Struthio camelus: one gene and its partner. The protein of the gene in region 2 interacts with the protein of the main gene of each other region in a biochemical or structural test. Links are inferred from orthologs where the notes say so. Each region holds a gene or a part of one and is shown on either strand. Other genes may lie near its edges.

The links.
Region 1: the proteins of OXSR1 (region 2) and WNK4 are reported together in a solved structure, tested with the Homo sapiens proteins (2 studies listed by BioGRID and IntAct, with this or other methods). The link is inferred for Struthio camelus from reciprocal best matches to the Homo sapiens genes OXSR1 and WNK4.

Annotation. Positions count from the first base shown.
Region 1 is NC_090966.1:7,833,583-7,841,399, forward strand, and holds the start of WNK4 (serine/threonine-protein kinase WNK4), read left to right. Parts: upstream 1-4,587; coding exon 4,588-5,088; intron 5,089-7,817. UniProt on the Homo sapiens protein: Serine/threonine-protein kinase component of the WNK4-SPAK/OSR1 kinase cascade, which acts as a key regulator of ion transport in the distal nephron and blood pressure.
Region 2 is NC_090943.1:6,329,962-6,338,215, forward strand, and holds the start of OXSR1 (serine/threonine-protein kinase OSR1), read left to right. Parts: upstream 1-5,042; 5' UTR 5,043-5,184; coding exon 5,185-5,254; intron 5,255-8,254. UniProt on the Homo sapiens protein: Effector serine/threonine-protein kinase component of the WNK-SPAK/OSR1 kinase cascade, which is involved in various processes, such as ion transport, response to hypertonic stress and blood pressure.

The DNA of each region.
Region 1 (7,817 bases), on a different chromosome or scaffold from region 2:
GAGTTGTTCCAGTTTGATAAACACGTAACCTGGGATGAATTTGTACACGGGTTACGTCTGTAACTCTGGGCTGAGGAAATCCTGAGAAGACTTATCTGCCTGGAGCTAAAGGCACAACTGAGGTTTGAATGACATCTCGCCCTCCCTGCAGTACGTGCGCTAGGGTAAGGATGGCCCGCAGGGAGACGAGCGAGGAGGGGGCACCAGCAGGTATGCAGTGCCGCAGCCCACCAGGAAACAGCTCCCGGGTCCCCTTCCCTGTCGGCATCCGTGGGCGGTGGTACTATCCTGCTTTACGCTCGAGGCAGCGCTTGGACCCTGCGCCTGCCTGGCAGGGGTGGCGTGAAGGAAGGCTGGCGGGGCCGCGCAGCTGGCCTCTTCCGCCTGCTCGCCTCTCGTGCCGCTCTGGCCTGGTCGTGCCGTTCCCGCTGGTCCTGCGACGCGTTCTCTGTGTCCTGCTCCCTTCTTCTGCTTCTGGCTCCTAAAGGCCTTTTTCTGCTCCGTGCCTGTTTTAGTGGGACCTGTTCGCCCCAACACGTTTCCTAGTAGGAAAGGGTGTATTAGTGGAAGCCTCCTCCCTGCTCCTTTCCAAGATATGCAACGGTTAAGGCAAATCCAGGAAGCTCAACTCACTTGTCGGACTAGCCAGATCTGCCGTTTCACTTGCCGTGCTGTCCAGTCTGAACTGGGTATCCCCGTCTCATGCAGAAGACACCTGGGCACCACTGGCTGAAGGAGGTTCGTAGGTACACAGACCTCCTCTGTGTCTGGACCCGTCTTGGCCCCTCGCTTATGCTGCCAGGAGCTCTGAGGTCAGAACGGACAAGTTCTGGCAGCGCTCGCTGGAGCTAGCACGGGAGACACCGGCGCGCTTAGCTGAACAGTTCTTTGATTAGTGATCTAATCCCAAGGAGAGTGATTACACAGTCCCCTGTTCTCTTCCTGGCAGCCAAATGCATGCGAAAAATAGGTTAAATTGCCTGATTACAGCGGTTCCTCAAAGTGAAGGGCTGGCACTGGCACCACAAGCCCAAGAGAGACGTCACCCTGATAACGTGCAAGGGTGTTGTGTGTGTTTTCTGAGCACTGGGAATGAGCTGTTGATTGTGGACTGGAACTTTCTGCTTTCAGCCCAGGTCTGAGTCCAGCTTGCTACCTCAGGACCGGGTCAGGAAGGCACCCGTAGCGAACCTAACAGTCTCTCTTGTGGTCGTTCCTGTTCTTGCCCTGTGCAGAAGGGAACGGAGAGTTGCGATCGGTTTTCTCTCCCTCTGGACACAGCCCCGGGGCCAGAAGCAGCCGAACGTGCCGTCCCTGGAGCGCTTGCCGTGTCGGAGGTGGTGGGAATTCCCTTGCAGAGCAGCAGCATTTCTCTCTGCGGATAGATTCATTTTCCTATTTAATTGAGGAAGCGACCGGTCTGCGCTGAGTGGTGCTGAGATCGATATCCCACCCTGAGGGGCAGGCCCCAGCGGCTGCGCCGGAGCTGCGCGGTGTCCGGATTCGCCTCCGTTCTGGCGGCTGTAGAACGACACTCGACGTTCCCCCTCGCTGCTCTGTGGATCAAGTGGAGGATTTTCAGCTAGAAAAGACTGAAATCTCCGGCTTTGCTGAGAGCTGCAGTCAGGACCGGATAAAAGTAAAAGCAATTACTTTTTAAGCAGGGAACTTTTAAAACCTGACATATGTTAGATGGGTAGGAAAGCTACAGCCCTGTTTCCCGCGGCTTTGACGGGCTCTGGAGGAGAGGTGAAAGTCAAAAGATGGGGCATGAAGGATGGTTCTTCACGTGTCTCCTCCTCCTGCCTCCCCTGGGGCTTTGGCAGATGGTCCCCTGGCTTGTGCACGGGCTCTTTAACTTTGTGCAGCCTGCAAGACGCTGGAGGAGAGAGGTCAGTAGGAAGCGGGAAGCCTGAGAGATGCCACGTGGGAGGCGTTTGCGTGGGGAGCTGGGATACCCCCCCCTTTCTGGATGTGGATCTGGTGAAAAGGGCAGATGTTTTTGCCCTGGCAGAACGGTGCATCTGAATAAAACACTTCATTTGGCAGAGTGGAGTCCAACTGTGTCATATTTTACAACACAACAGTCTTCCACACCAGGAACATTGTGTGTGCCACACCTATCAGCCCGTCTGTCCTGGCCTTTTGTCTTTGGCAACAATCAGCCTCTGGTGCTTTGGGACAAGGGGCACTTCCTCCCAGGAGGCACCAAGCGGAGTGCTGCGGAGGGGCAGACCTTAGACGTGCATGCTTCAGCCTTGGGTGGCTGTTCTCCCGCTAGCACATGCCCTGAGCACGCTCTTGGGAGCACCGCATGTAGGTAAGGATGTGGTCCCGTCTCTCAACTCACCAACCCAGGCTGCACATTAGCAGTTTTCAAGCAAAAAAGAGACATCCGATCACATTCTCCTCTTGGGGCAGTTTTACCTGGCTCCTTTGTTTTGCGAGCCGGGCAAGCAGGGATGAATGAACGGGGTCATGTGAAGGTAGCACAAGCCTGCCTGTGCCCGGGAGATTAGCAGTTTGACACTCGGCCTATCCAGGGCTGCTGCAGAAACAACGTTTCATTAAATGCGTCTCCCTCCTCCCGCCCGGACGGGGGGTGGGATTTGTGGGGCTGCAGCTGTGCTAGACGTGGGCTGCAGCGGTACTGTGAGTCAGGGCTGCAGCCCAGGGATCACTCGCTGTCCTCCTGCATACGCCGGGTTAGCATTTGAAATCTGTGTGGAGGACATTGCTGGGCTACTATTTCAATCCTCCCCTTAATGTTTCTCTTATCGTTGAATAGAAACAATCTGATCCTAGGGAAAATAAATTAATGTCGGCTTCAATTGCTTTGTATTTTGTGTAAACAGTTCCACTAAGTAGAACAACTTCTTAGTTTAAACCGTAGAGACAACAAGCTCTTGTCTGCGCTCTGGGTTAGTGCATGGCTGGAACAGACATTCATACCTTAATATTTGCATGGCCCTAATTTTAGGATTTCACCCAGTAGCAAACTGAGAGGATGGGCTGTCAAGCTGAGCAGACAGGCGCGGGACCCGATAGCTTGTCAGAACAGCGAGCGGCAGGAGGTGCTCCCCACAACCTGGGAGAGGGACAGCTGCTGTTTCTTGTAAACCCGCTGCTCTGAAATCTCAAGTTAAAAGCTCTAAGTAAATGTCTAAAACAAGCACTTCCCTACAGCTCAGTGTAGCCTGCGTCACCCTGTCTGATGCTTCAATTACACTAGCCCCATTGCCAGGATTGTTTCCAACGCTGCTGGAGAGCAGAGCGCTGGCTCAAGCCTGGGAGGGAAAGGGGCTGGCAGCCGCTTCTAGCTCTGCAAGGAGGGGATGGCCGTTGCACAGCAGCTGGGCTCAGAGCTAGGCTTGCAGCAGGGGAAGGACGGGGCACATGCCCTGCCTTGGGACCTGCAGCCATCCCAGCACCTTGTGCCCACGCGCAGCCCGTGTGCGGAGCCTGGTGCCTGGGATGCAGTGCCTGGTGCTGGTGTGCGGAGCCCAGTGCCAGGGTGCCAGGGACTGTGGGCCGTGCACAGAGCGGTGCTGGGGGCTAGGGACGCTGCATGCAGCTCCTGCACGCAGTGCCTGTGCCTGGTGCAGACTACCCAGAACCGGTGCTCAGCACGTGCAGCCTGTGCCCAGTGTGCGGTGCCTGTGCGTGGTGTGCATTGCCTGGGCCACGGTGCCTGGTGAGCTGTGCTGCTGCCCCATGCCCATGCCCAGTGCGTGGAGCCTGGTGCCTGTGCTGGTGCCCGCTGCCCATGCACGCTGCCCATGCCAGTGCTCGTGCAAGGTGCACAATGACCATGCTGGTGCCTAGTGCCTGTGCCGGTGCTGGTGTGTGGTGCATGTGCCCAGTGCATGGAGCCCAGTGCCAGTGCGGGTGCCTGTGCCCAGGGCATGGAGCCTGGGGCGGGTGCGTGGTGCTTGGGTGCACAGTGCTGATGCACAGTGCGTGGAGCCTGGTGCTTGGCTGTGCAGTGTTGGTGTGGGTGCTGGCACCCAGTGTGTGGTGTCCGGGTGTGTAGTGCCAGTGCGGGTGCCAGTGCCCAGTGCATAGAGCCCGGTGCTGGTGCCAGTGCAGGTGCTGGTGTGCGGTGCCTGGAGCTCAGTGCCGGTGCCTGGTGCACAGAGTCCAGTGCCCGGTGCCCGGTGCCTGGAGCCTGGTGCCGGTGCCGGTGTGCGGTGCACAGAGCCCGGTGCTGGTGCCGGTGCGCGGTGCACGGAGCCCGGTGCCAGTGCCAGTACGCGGTGCACAGAGCCCGGTGCAGGTGCCCGGTGCCCGGTGCCCGGTGCCGGTGCCGGTGTGCGGTGCACGGAGCCCGGTGCAGGTGCCGGTGCGCGGTGCACGGAGCCCGGTGCCGGTGCCGCGGCCGGCGGGGGCCGCTCCCGCGGCGCAGGGGGGGCGGTGGCCGCGGGGAGGCGGTGCCGGGCCGGGCCGGGGGCGGTGCCGCCGGGCGGGGCCGGGGCCGGGGCCGGTGCCGGGGCCCGGGCCGGGGCTCGGCGGGCGGACGGCGGCGGCGGCGCCAGGTGCGAAGCTGCGCGGGAGCGGCCGAGCCGCCGCCGTCGCCGCCGCGGGCCGATGCTGGCGGCGGAGCCGGCCGCCGCCGGCGGGGCCATGTCCCAGCCCGAGGCGGAGCGGGCGGGCGGCGGCGGCGCGGCGGAGGAGCCGGAGCCAGGACCGGGGCCGGGGCCGGAGCCGGAGCCAGGACCGGGGCCGGGGGCCCCCGGGCGGGCGCCGCACCGCAGCCGCGGCCGGCGGCTCTCGGGGCGCGAGTCGCGCCGCGCCTCCGCCCGCTTCAGCCGGCGCAGCTCGGCCGAGCTGGAGCTGCTGCGCGGTGCGGCGGGGCCGGGGCCGGGGCCGGGGCGCGGGGGGTCGCCGCCGCCGCTGCCGCCGCCCGCCGGGCGCCGCCGGGAGCCCGAGGAGACGGAGAGCGAGGAGGTGGAGACCCGCGCCGTGGCCACCTCCCCCGACGGCCGGTTCCTCAAGTTCGACATCGAGATCGGCCGCGGCTCCTTCAAGACCGTCTACAAGGGGCTGGACACGGAGACCACCGTGGAGGTGGCCTGGTGCGAGCTGCAGGTAAGGGCCGGGGCCGGGGGTCGGGGCCGGGGGGCTGCGGGAGCCCTGCCCGCGGGCGGCACCTGGGCGGCGGCGCCCCGACCCCGGCCCGGCCCGGCCCGGCCGCCTCTGCCCCTCCGCGCTGCCGCCGCGGGCTGCCCGCCCCGACGGAGGGGCCGTAGCCGGGGCCGCTTGGCAGCTCTTCCCCTGCCGGTTGCCCTGGCGCCTGCAGCCGCCCTGCAGCCGTGAATCCCTCTCGCTGCCTCCGGTGCCTCCCGGGGCGGCCGCGCTGCGCGGGGGAAGCGCGAGGCAGCTCCCCTTGGGATGCCCAGAGCAGCGCACGGGCGGTTGTTAGTCGTGTCCGTGCCATTTCCGCAGCCGGCTGCAGCAGCCGAGCAGGACGCGGTCCTTGCAGCCGGGCTCAGGTTCCCTCGCTCCCCGAAGGTGCCTGCGTGCTGGCCGGCGCCTCGGAGCCGCGCGGGGGCTGCTGGCCTGGGCCCAGCTCCGGGCTTAACACGGCGCTTCCCAGCCCTCCCGCCTGTCACGTGCTGTTTTCCACTCGCCGTGTTGCTGGCTGCGCGGTGGCAGCGCTCCTGGTGCGCCCGCGCTGCCCGTGCCGGTCCCGCTCCAGGAGTTCGCGGGTGGATCCAGCCCTGCTGCTGGGGGCTGAGCCCTGCGCTCGCCCCTGGCAAGGGCGGTCTGGGACAGCAGCGCCCTCTCCTCGGCCCGTGGCTCTGCGCCAGGGCTGGCGGGCTGCTCCGATAGCCCCGGGCACGCCGCTGGGCACGTGTTCGCAGTGTGCTTGAGGCTGGGTGCTGAGCCTGCTTCCAGGGTACAGCGCGTCCTTGGTGCGCGCCGGCCGCTCGTCCTTGACTGCGGCGCTGTCCGTAGGCACCTGCGGCGCCGAGGTCCCTGCCGCGCGGCCGGCACGCTTGGCTAGCTGCGCCTGCAGCTGCGGCTTTCCAGGTCTGGGAGCAGCTGCGCTGGCCCCTGTCTCCCCCCGCGTCCCGCCGTGCCTTTCGCTGTCCTGCGGCCCGACCGCGGGACGCTAACGCCAGGGCGCGAAGGGGAGCAGCGGGGGGTCGGCTCCCTAACGCCTTCGCCGCTCGGGTGAGGCCGCGCGTGGGTGGTCTTGCTGCGGGGCTCCCTCTTCCTCCGCAGAGCCCCTGGGGAGGGGCTTCCGCTAAGTCCAAAGTCTCGGACGGGCTCCTTCGCCCTGGTGGCTATTGTAGCTGGAAGGTCCAAGTCCTTGTTTACACAGAAAAACGTGTCTTGCAAGTTTGTTGTCTTGTTCCTAAAACCTTGGTGCAGCTGCACGCTGCTGCATCCCTGGGGACGGCTGCAGCCTGGCAATGGAAGCAGAGATCCTTAGGTAATGGTGAATGCTTTCAGGAAGGGCTCGGTGTTCCCTGTTAGCGAGGAAGGTGAGGCCTTGGCCCGGCGTCGCGGGATTGCACAACTGCTCCAGCTGCCCGCTGAGCGCATGCTGTGTCCCACCCTCGCTTTGCACCTCGTCCCGTTGCAGTGCTCCCGCGCTTCCACTTGCGTCTCGTATCCCTTCGCGTGCTGCTGAGAAAACCGGTCTGGCCCTGACAAGGAAGGACGTTTCTTGCTAAACCCTGCGGCTTTCTCTGGGCGAGTCAGCCGTGCCCGGCTGGCGTCGCGGCAGACCGTCGTGGGTCTGCGCCCTGTCTTTGCCCACGCGCGTCCCTGCTCTCCCGGCTTCACCGCTAGCGTGCGTGGCAGGTCCCGCTGCTGCACGGCGCTGCCTGGCAGCCCCAAGCCCCCGGCCCCGCTGCGGCAGACGCCCCTGGGGGTGGCCGGGCTGCGTCCCCCAGCTGCAGGAAGGGAATCGCCCCGCTGCCGGCGCCCGTGGGGCCGGGGAGCCGCTCGCGCGCGGTGCAGCCGCCCACGCGGGAGCGTGCCCGCCGCGCCGGGGAGAGCTGGCGGCCCTCGGCCTCCTGCGGCGCGGGGGGCCTCGGGGCGCGGGCCGGCCCGGCGCAGCGCCCCTTCCCGCCGCCGTGGCTCTCCCCGTTCCTCCCCTCCGCCACCTCCTGCCTGCCGGCCCTGCCCCTAGCTGCTCGCTCTCCGTGGCTCCTGTCCCAGAACCCACGTCCCATTCGGGTCTGAAAGCATATAGGCAGACTTTTAAAAGTCTGTTTTCCTGCAGCAACCATGCAAAGAATCAGACACTGTGACACAAATACGGGATTTGTAACCGCAAATAAAAATGGTTGTGGTTCTGCCCTTTTAAAAATAGCTTTGTCCCGTGTCTTTCACAGTTCTCCTTTTATTGCCTTTCAAATATAACCGAGTACCTAACCTCAGCCCTGACCTGCAGTTCCGGCTCTGAGAGCCTTGTCCGGCCGTTGCGACGTCCCTCGATCCCAAATCGCAGCTCTCCTCGCTCTCCCGCCCGGCGCCGGCCGTCCGGAGGCACGGGCTGCGCCGCTCCCGCGGGACCCCCGTCCTCGGCGTCGCGGCCGTCCCTGCCTCCTGCCCGCGTCCCGCAGACCCGCCGCGACCTGTTTACGCTTTCCAGCTTTAGGTCCGAGGCTATTTCAGTTGATAGGTGCCGAGGGCGGTGGGGGAAGGAGGAAGCAGGGAGGAAACCAGAGGCCCAGAGCGGGGTCAGGCTGTAAATACGCTGGCAGCCAGCGGTTTGGCAGTGGGGACCCCTCGGTCCCCCCGGCGCGGCTGCCCGGCGGGCTCTGCGGGGCTCTGACCTCCCGGGGCGCTGCCCCTGCTTG
Region 2 (8,254 bases):
TGTTACAGAACATGTTTTATTTTATTTCTCCAAAGCATTTACCAGCTGTAAAGCGGACAGATCTGGTCAGAGCGCTCCCAGGCTGGCGGACTACCCACACAATATCAACAGGGAGCACCGGTGTCTCCTCCCAGAGCTGTTTTCAGGACTGACCAAAAGACCTGCCACGACCGGCCCTGAAAAGGAGATTTAAGTACCCAGGGACGCTCAGGACTTGTCTGCTGCAGCGAGCGGCAAGGAGGGGATCTTCTCTGGCACCGTTATAGCATCTAATGTCCGGACTTCTGTCTCTACTATTTTTTTTAAGAGTTTTATTGAATATTAACATGTTTGAAGCACTCTTAAATATAGTCATGCAAAGTGTTACATAACAGACCAAGCATCAGTCTTTGGCCTCTCTTCATAAACGACAAAGCAGTGACAGCCCAGGTGAACACACTGGTGCATTAGGGCCTGGATGTTTGCATCAGATTTCTTTTGCACTTTCAAAGCAGAGCAGAAAAACTCTGAAACACATTATCAATCCCCCCTGACTTGCTCGGCTGTCCAGAAAATGTTTTATGATAGAGATTTACCATTCACAGAAGAGGCCAGAGGGAAAACCCTTCTGTCCGGAGAAGCTGTTCCAAAGAGATAACTAGATTCTCACAGCTGACAGAGGTGTGGACATGTGAAATGTCCTTTATTAGCTTCTTTGAGGACAAAGCAGTATGAAGAAAGTATTATTGTATTCCAGAGCAGAGCAAGAACTGATTATTAAATGTAGTTCCAGTACATGGTAATCAAGATCTTGTTCTAATTAACTATTTCGTAAACCTAACATCAATTTTATACTAGATTTCAAGGAGGCAGCAAAGCTGTGATCTGTTACTGACAGCGTTAATTGGCTTTCAATTTATACACTAAAAAGCATAAACTTAGAATAAAAGAGAAAGAAGTACGACCTTGTCTTGGTCATAAGCGCTTTACTTGTTTCCTAATGCTTAAAATCTGGGGCATAATTTTCAGCGGAGAAAGTAGGAGAATAGTGTAGCGTTTCTGCTAGCTGAGAGGCAGTGATGATGGGATAAGAAATGTGTTTGCAGAGTGAAAGCTGGTTTCAGTAAACAGACTGTGAGAACCAGAATTCACCTGTTAGAACCGGGCCTTCAGCTACTTGACTTCAAAGTGACCTCAAAGGAGAATTTAAAATGACTTAGCACGCTACCCGTGAATGACAGGGTGGAGATACGTGGTAGTACACAGGATCATTTATAGAAACCTGCCGACGTGGTTGACACTGGCATTTGGCTTGTGGTTTGAAAACGTTCCACCAAACTGATTATTAAAAACTTGCTCCGATCAGAGGATTTTAAATCACTGCTCCTTACTTCACTGCACGGTCCTTGCCTCATTTCTCAAAAACCAAAGCAAAAATGGCATGAGAAATCCCCGGAGATAAATTGCATGCTTGTATTTGTTGGCTACAGACCAAAGAGCCTTGCCCTTTGTTAAATAATCAGATACCGTTTGATGGACTAAGTTCCCTTCAATAAACCTGCAAGTATTTCCATCAAGAACGAATAGCAGGCAAATTTTGTAGTGAAACAAGGTCGAGCGTTCTCCTTGCCAGAGCACGCTTGCACTATTATGAATGTAATAAGACAGGCATTGTTAGGCTCCCTCTTGCTTTGGTAAACCACGACCGTACCAAGCAGTTCAATAAGCACATTAACTGCTACTGTTTGTGAGAATCATGGTAGCTAATGCGCAGTCCCTTACGAGCAGCAGTTTATGATGCTTTAAAAAGCCTTTGACTAGAAACGCGGCAGCAAATTCCATAGCCTAAAACACAACTGAACTGTGACACTACATGCTTCTGCATGACTGTTCCGAAAGAGCAACTTCCAGGCTAACTGTACCAAAAAGAAAACTATATTTGAGAGTAAGTTGAAATCTGAAATGCCTCAATAGGCAAACTGGAGTTATTAAGGCTAGTTTTCTACAGTCCCGGTGTAAATAAAGTTTACTTATGATCACACTGATGATGAGGATATCTTACCATTGAGGACCCTTTACAGGTACTAAAGCTATTCACTTTGCACAGAATATTAGAGTCACCATCCCACCCATTAAATATCGGTTTTATGATAGCCACTATTATATGAGCCAAAAAAAAAAAAGAAAAGCAAAGCTGGTCTGTGCCATTAAGTTTCATTGAAATAGCATGTAATTGTCCTCTCAAAGGCAGGAAACAGAATCACAGAATCACAGAATCGTTTAGGTTGGAAGGGACCTCTGGAGATCATCTAGTCCAACCTCCCTGCTCAAGCAGGGTCCTCTAGAGCATATGCCTTATGAGGATGAAAGCCTTTTGTGTGCACACAGGTGTGCACAGACCTGTGAGCTAGCCATCTCCAAAGGCTCAGAGCCAGCTGGGAGGAAACACCAGCCCCAGGGACATTGATGAAACACAGCGGTCAGGGTAAAGCCTTTATGCAGCAGCAGAAGCAATGGGAGGAGGGGATCGCCTGCTCCAATCATTGAGATATTAAATTTTAAGTCAAGAAGTATAGCAAACCCAGATCTGAGACCTTTTCTCAGACTGTAGCTTTCCTACCAGAAAGAAGTCTAGAGTTCTTCCACTTCTCACTCTTCCCTAATGCCTGGTAGAGAGCGGAGGTGGATACGCAGGCAACTGCTTTTCCACTTCAGACTTCTACTAAAATGTCTTGTTATTACAACAAACCACTTGCCGCGGCAGCACCACTTTACAGGCTGTTTTATAAATAGAGACATTTCCTCTACCCTGAAAAGCTTACAACCTACATGAGACAGACAAAATAAAGCGAATCAGGAAAAGTAGGATGAGCAGAATATTAACGATGAAACAGGAGAAGGTGCTGCTTGAAGATCTGAAGTGGGCTAAGTGTTAAGAACTTCACAGAGGCCAGCTCCCTTTTTTCATCCTTCTCCAGACTCCCATCGAAACAATTTGCTGGATGAATGCAACAGCAACGTCTGACTTTTGAGGGATTCAACATCGTGAGTTCATTTAAAACATAAACGCAATATCTGTGGGATCCAGATTCTATGCGAAAGAGAGCTCTTTGGTTTTAAAATATGGAAATGGAGAGTTCATCGCAGAGGTGAAAAGTTAAAATACATCATTCATTTGTGTGTGCTTATGTGGCCACTGGTGGTCTAGTCAATGCACATTTAAAATTTTCCTATTTATCAAAGTCTACTCTATTCCTCAAAAGATAAGGCTTATAGTGGACATAATCCTGTCCCATCGATCTAAAGCAAAAGGAGTTTTAGCGTTGTCTTCAGGGGGAGTATTTTCTCCCCAAAACAAGAGAATTTAAAACACGGCCTAGACTTTAAAAATAGAGTGGTAAAATGAAGCCTACGCATCACTGTGGCTATAAAGGTTTTAAGTAGGTGCTTTGAGATTTTCAGGATCAGGGCCTGTGTCTTCTTCAGTTGTTGACGCCTGGCTCAGATCCATTTTTAACACGCGGTCAGCTATCGGAAATATTCACCTGAGTGGGGCAAAACCTGCTTTGAATTGCTACAAAAAACTACTTTTATACGGCTAAAAGATCACAGAGATGGTTCCGAGCAATAATTAAGGCATATTTAGCAAGTATTAGAGATCGCTTGGCAGAGGAACGTGTAACAGAGGCAAGCAGGAAAACCGAACAGCTTTTAACTCGGAAGCTTTGTCTGACGGACAGAGACCGTCTTTGTTCGGTGTTTGGACAACAGCGAGCAAGATGCGGCTCTGGGTCATTTCCTTTGGTAGGACAACGAAGAGGAGAAGGAAGGAGTTATTGTCCTGCGTTAGGTAGCGCAAGTGAAAATACTGGAGTCACGCCCCGCGTTTGGCAGGGTCCCGTGGCCCTCTATAAAGCTGGGTTCATCAGACGTGTCTCAGGAATTTGCCCTAATAAGCTAAAAATACGTAAAGCCGATGTTCTTTGCCACACAGAAGCGTCTGCTATCAAGCTACAGGAAGAACAGCGCCTGAAAAACACAACTTGACACAGAAATTCCACATTTTGCTTGATTGTCCTGATCGTTTCTGTTGTGTGTGGTGACAGCAAGAACACGCTGTGTTATGGCTATTAGGACTATTTAAAACCTCCAGACACCTATGAAACCAATGTAAACAGCAGCCTATGTGAGTTCGTGGTAAAAATGACCCTCCCATTCCTCGTTCTTTTAATCTTTTCTTTAGGGTCTCTACCCCCACCTCGCCAGCTCCAGCAACGGACCTGCGCGCAGCCCAAGTGCAGTCTAAACACCTTGGCGTTTGGTGGCCGGCACGTTTCAGAACTGCTCGTTTTTGGAGGTGGATGGGGCAAAACGGGCCTGCTGATCCCTTCACACCCATCCTAACCCCTGGATGCTATTTTTAAAGTGTGGCAAGTGGAGGCCTGAGGCACCCGGGGCCGAGCTCTACCCCTGCTCGCCGCCCTGCCTCCTTCGTGGCACTTGGCCTCAGAAACCGTCGCCAGCCCCAGGCCCAGCGCCCCTTCCCCCCTCCCTCTCCCCAGCCCCCCACGGGAGCCTCTCGGGAGGAGGGCGACGGGACCCCGGAGAAGGACTGCGGGGGATCGACAGCCTTTTCACCAATAGGAGCTCGGCTTTCATAGCCAGCAGCCAATCAGCGTCGGGGGCGGGTCTATAAGCGAGCAGTCCTTCCCGCCTCTCGCCTGAGGGAGGGGAAGATGCGGGCGGCCGCCATCTTGTGTGTGGCATCCCCGCCCTTCCCACTCTCTCCTCCCTGGCGGCCCTACTCTCCCCCCCACCTCCGCCGTCCCGCGACGGCGGCGGAGGGCCGAGGACAGCGGCGGCGGCGGCCCCCTTTCTCGGCCGAATAAACAAAAAGACAGCGGGCGGCCGGCCGGCGGGGCGCCGCGCTCAAGATGGCGCCGGGCGGCGCCCTGCTGGCGCTGGAGCGCGCGCGGGTGGGTGACGTCAGCGGGACTCTGGGCATGGGCAGGTGGAGGGAGCAGGCAAAGTTTGGCCGGCGCTAGCGGGAGGCGGGCGGGCGGCGGCGGCGGCCGGGGCTGCGGGCGCCGCTGCCGGCAGTGCTCGGGGCGGGGGCGGCGGTTGCGCCTCGGCTCGGCTGTGTGCTCCGCTCCGCTCCGCTGCGCTGCGTTGCTGGCGGCGCGCGCGGGCCGCCGCGCCGCTGCCATGGCCGAGGACCCCAGCGCCCTGCCCTGGTCCATCAACAAGGATGACTACGAGCTGCAGGAGGTGATCGGTGAGTGCGGGGGGGGGGGGGTCCTGCCCCCCCCCCCCATCTGAGGGGTGTGTGTGTAACCGTTTGGGGGGGGGGTGTCCCCCCCCCCGCCAGGAGGACTTTGTTTGGGGGGGGGGTCTGTGTAGGGAGGGGGTGGTGTTCCCCCCCGTGGAGGGTGTGGAGGGGGGGGTCTGCTCCCCAAATGGGGGGGGGCAGAGGAGCAGATGCCCCCCGCCCTCAATGATGGCTGTATGTAGGGTCTATTCCCCCCCCCCCGAAACCCAGGGAAGGGGTGGTGGGGATCTGCTCCCTCCCCCCCAAGGGGGGGGGGGCTATGTTTGGATTTGGAGGGGGGGCCCCGTTGCTGTGTTTTTGTGACCCTCTGGGTGCGTGGGGGGGTGTCTGCTGCCCCTCGAGGGGTGTGGGGGGGTTTGGTGTCCCCCCCCCCGATACCTCACGGCGGGGGGGGCTCCCCTGTCCCTTGGGGGGGGGGGGGACACCCTCCAGGGCAAGGGCTGCTTGGGGTTTGGGGGGGGGAGGATCAGTGCACCCTCGTGCTGGGTGGCAGAGGATGGGACGGGGTCTGTGCTCTGGGGGCTCCTTTACTGACCCGTCGCTTACTGACCCGGCTGAATCCACTGTGCTGGGGTGGGGGGTGAGGTCGCCTGCGGTGCAAACCCCAAAATTTATACGGGCTCCCTCCCTCCAGAGCAGCCGGGCGCCTCCGCTGCAGCACCTGGCGCTTTGGGTGCTCTGTTGCTTTGGCGTCTTCAGGGGACGGAGGACTTTGTAGTGCCACCAAAGCAGTGGCACTTTTTTTTCTCCTCTTCCCTGGGTTTTTACTATTGTCTGAATCTTCATTCATTGTCCTCTCGGCTTGAGGCCTGGCCCTTGCTCTCTAGTAAATGATTTTTCTTTCTTTTTTTTTTTTTTTTTAAAAACATTTTGACTTTAAACTGACACAGTTACCAAAGGCCTCCTGCTGTCCTGATTTATTGGCCGTCTCAACCGTTCGGCTGGGGTGTGTGTTTGAGGGATATATTGCTCTAGGTTGCGCGTGTGACACGTCTGAGGTGGTGCCACAGGCAATGCTAAGGTCAGTGCCTCTTGTGTCACTCTCTGGAGGCAGGAAACAAAGTGGGAGGTGGCAGGGCAGGCTCCTGGCCAGGAGGCTTTTAGGAAGGAGGTTAATTTTCGGTTTAATCTTTGTAAAGTGCTTTTACTTGAAATTTATAAATGACATAGCTCTATCGTGCCCAGGCCTTGCATCTCTGCCCAACAGGGAGACTTAGTTTCTGTTAACAAGGGTGGGAGAGTTTGGGGAAAATGCTGTTTTAAGAGATTAAATTCTTGGCATTGTTTGAAAGTCGGAAGGAACTAAAGCTGTTGGGGGGGGGAAAAATCCTTGTGGCAGTTCTGGAAATCCCTGTTGCTCCACTGGATCAGGCTTTATCCTCTCCCTTCGCCTAGTGGGAGCAGCAGCGCTTTAGAAAGGAGGCAAACCATCAGTAAAGACCGGGAAGACGTAATCTCGGAGATCAGCCCGTTAAACCTCCTCGGAGATCATCCCGTTAAACCTCCTCTGGAAGACGCACCCTGGTGAGGCTGGTGTCGAGCCTCCTCCAGGAGCAGCAGATAAAGGTGCAGGGGCAAAGAGGGGGGAAGAACAGGCCACTGGGCTCCCAGTCCCCGCAGGAAAGGGAGCTGCGGGAGTTGCACCCGTGCTCGCAGGAAGCGCTTCTCCCGTGGGAGTCTCCGAAGGGGTGCTCTCGCATAACACAAAGCCAGGTTTTGAGTATCCAGCGAAAGGACAAGCTGCCTCTTTGTAGCTGGGGAACGGAGTGGGATGGGAACAAAAGGGAATGCAAATGCGCTCCTGCTCTTAGGAGGACTTGCTGCTAGAGACGCACGTCCTATAGTCCAACAGTATTAGAAGGAGGACGTAGATACGTTGTGGTCTCACTGGAGAAAAATCAGGGATAGGATATTTCAGTTCTTTCATGTCTTTCCCCTACTCCTCTGTAAACTTTGAGTTTCTGGTTGTCATCTGCTCATTGAAAGATTGTGTTGGCATTCTGGAATGTAATGGAGAGTATGCTGAAATGTGTATATTACAAACATATGGTTCCTTTTTTTTTTTTTTTTCAATTTCCCATCCCCCCCATCTTACTCATTTTCAACACTGGTGTGCCTGCCAGCGCCCTGGATGTATATGTGACGCAAATTTTCTAGCGCATTTATCATTTGTGGGACAAAATGTCACTGTGTTAACTGAGCTGGACTGTGTTAACTGAGCTGGACTGCTCCTGCTTCGTGTCTCTTGTAAACCTCAAGGTTTTTCTGAGCTCCTTTGACTTCTGCAGAACTGTAAAAGTTCTTCAGTAGTGAACGAAGAAGGGATCTGGTGTGGAAAGGGGTGAACCTTGCAGTAGTGCTTTTAAAGGATTTAACTTGTTTTCTGATGAAAATGTTCTTTAAATTTTGAGTCCAGGAGGTTACCAACTCAGTTATTTTTCACATCAGAATAAAGGAAATCAATGTCTGACTACATGATCTAATTCCTTATTTGTGCTATTTTTGCCAGAAGATATTCATGTGTGGCTTTCATATGACTTGGATGGCTCTGTACTATTTCAGTGCAAGAACTGAAAGAGCAAGCATTCTAGCTGCTAAAAAAAAAAAAATAAATAAATAATTTCTCCTGTAAAACTGCCTTCCTGGTTCTAGCTAATACTAAAAAGAGATTACTCAGCCCTGGACATGATTCATGCCATTATAAAGGTATAGATTAATGCTTATGTTTATTATGCTTGGTTAGTGTGAGTGGCTAAGTGCTGAGTAGCCTCCTTAGGCTTAAATAACTTACATTACAGTGAATTAAGAGGTCTTGCTTAGGATCAGAACCTGACTTTCATTTGAGGGGGGGGAAACAAAAAAAAAAAAAAAGGAAGTGTGGGCTGAGGGAGGAGGAAGCAAGTTACAATGCATTTCTGTGGCATGCACCCCCAGAGTAGTGTTAGC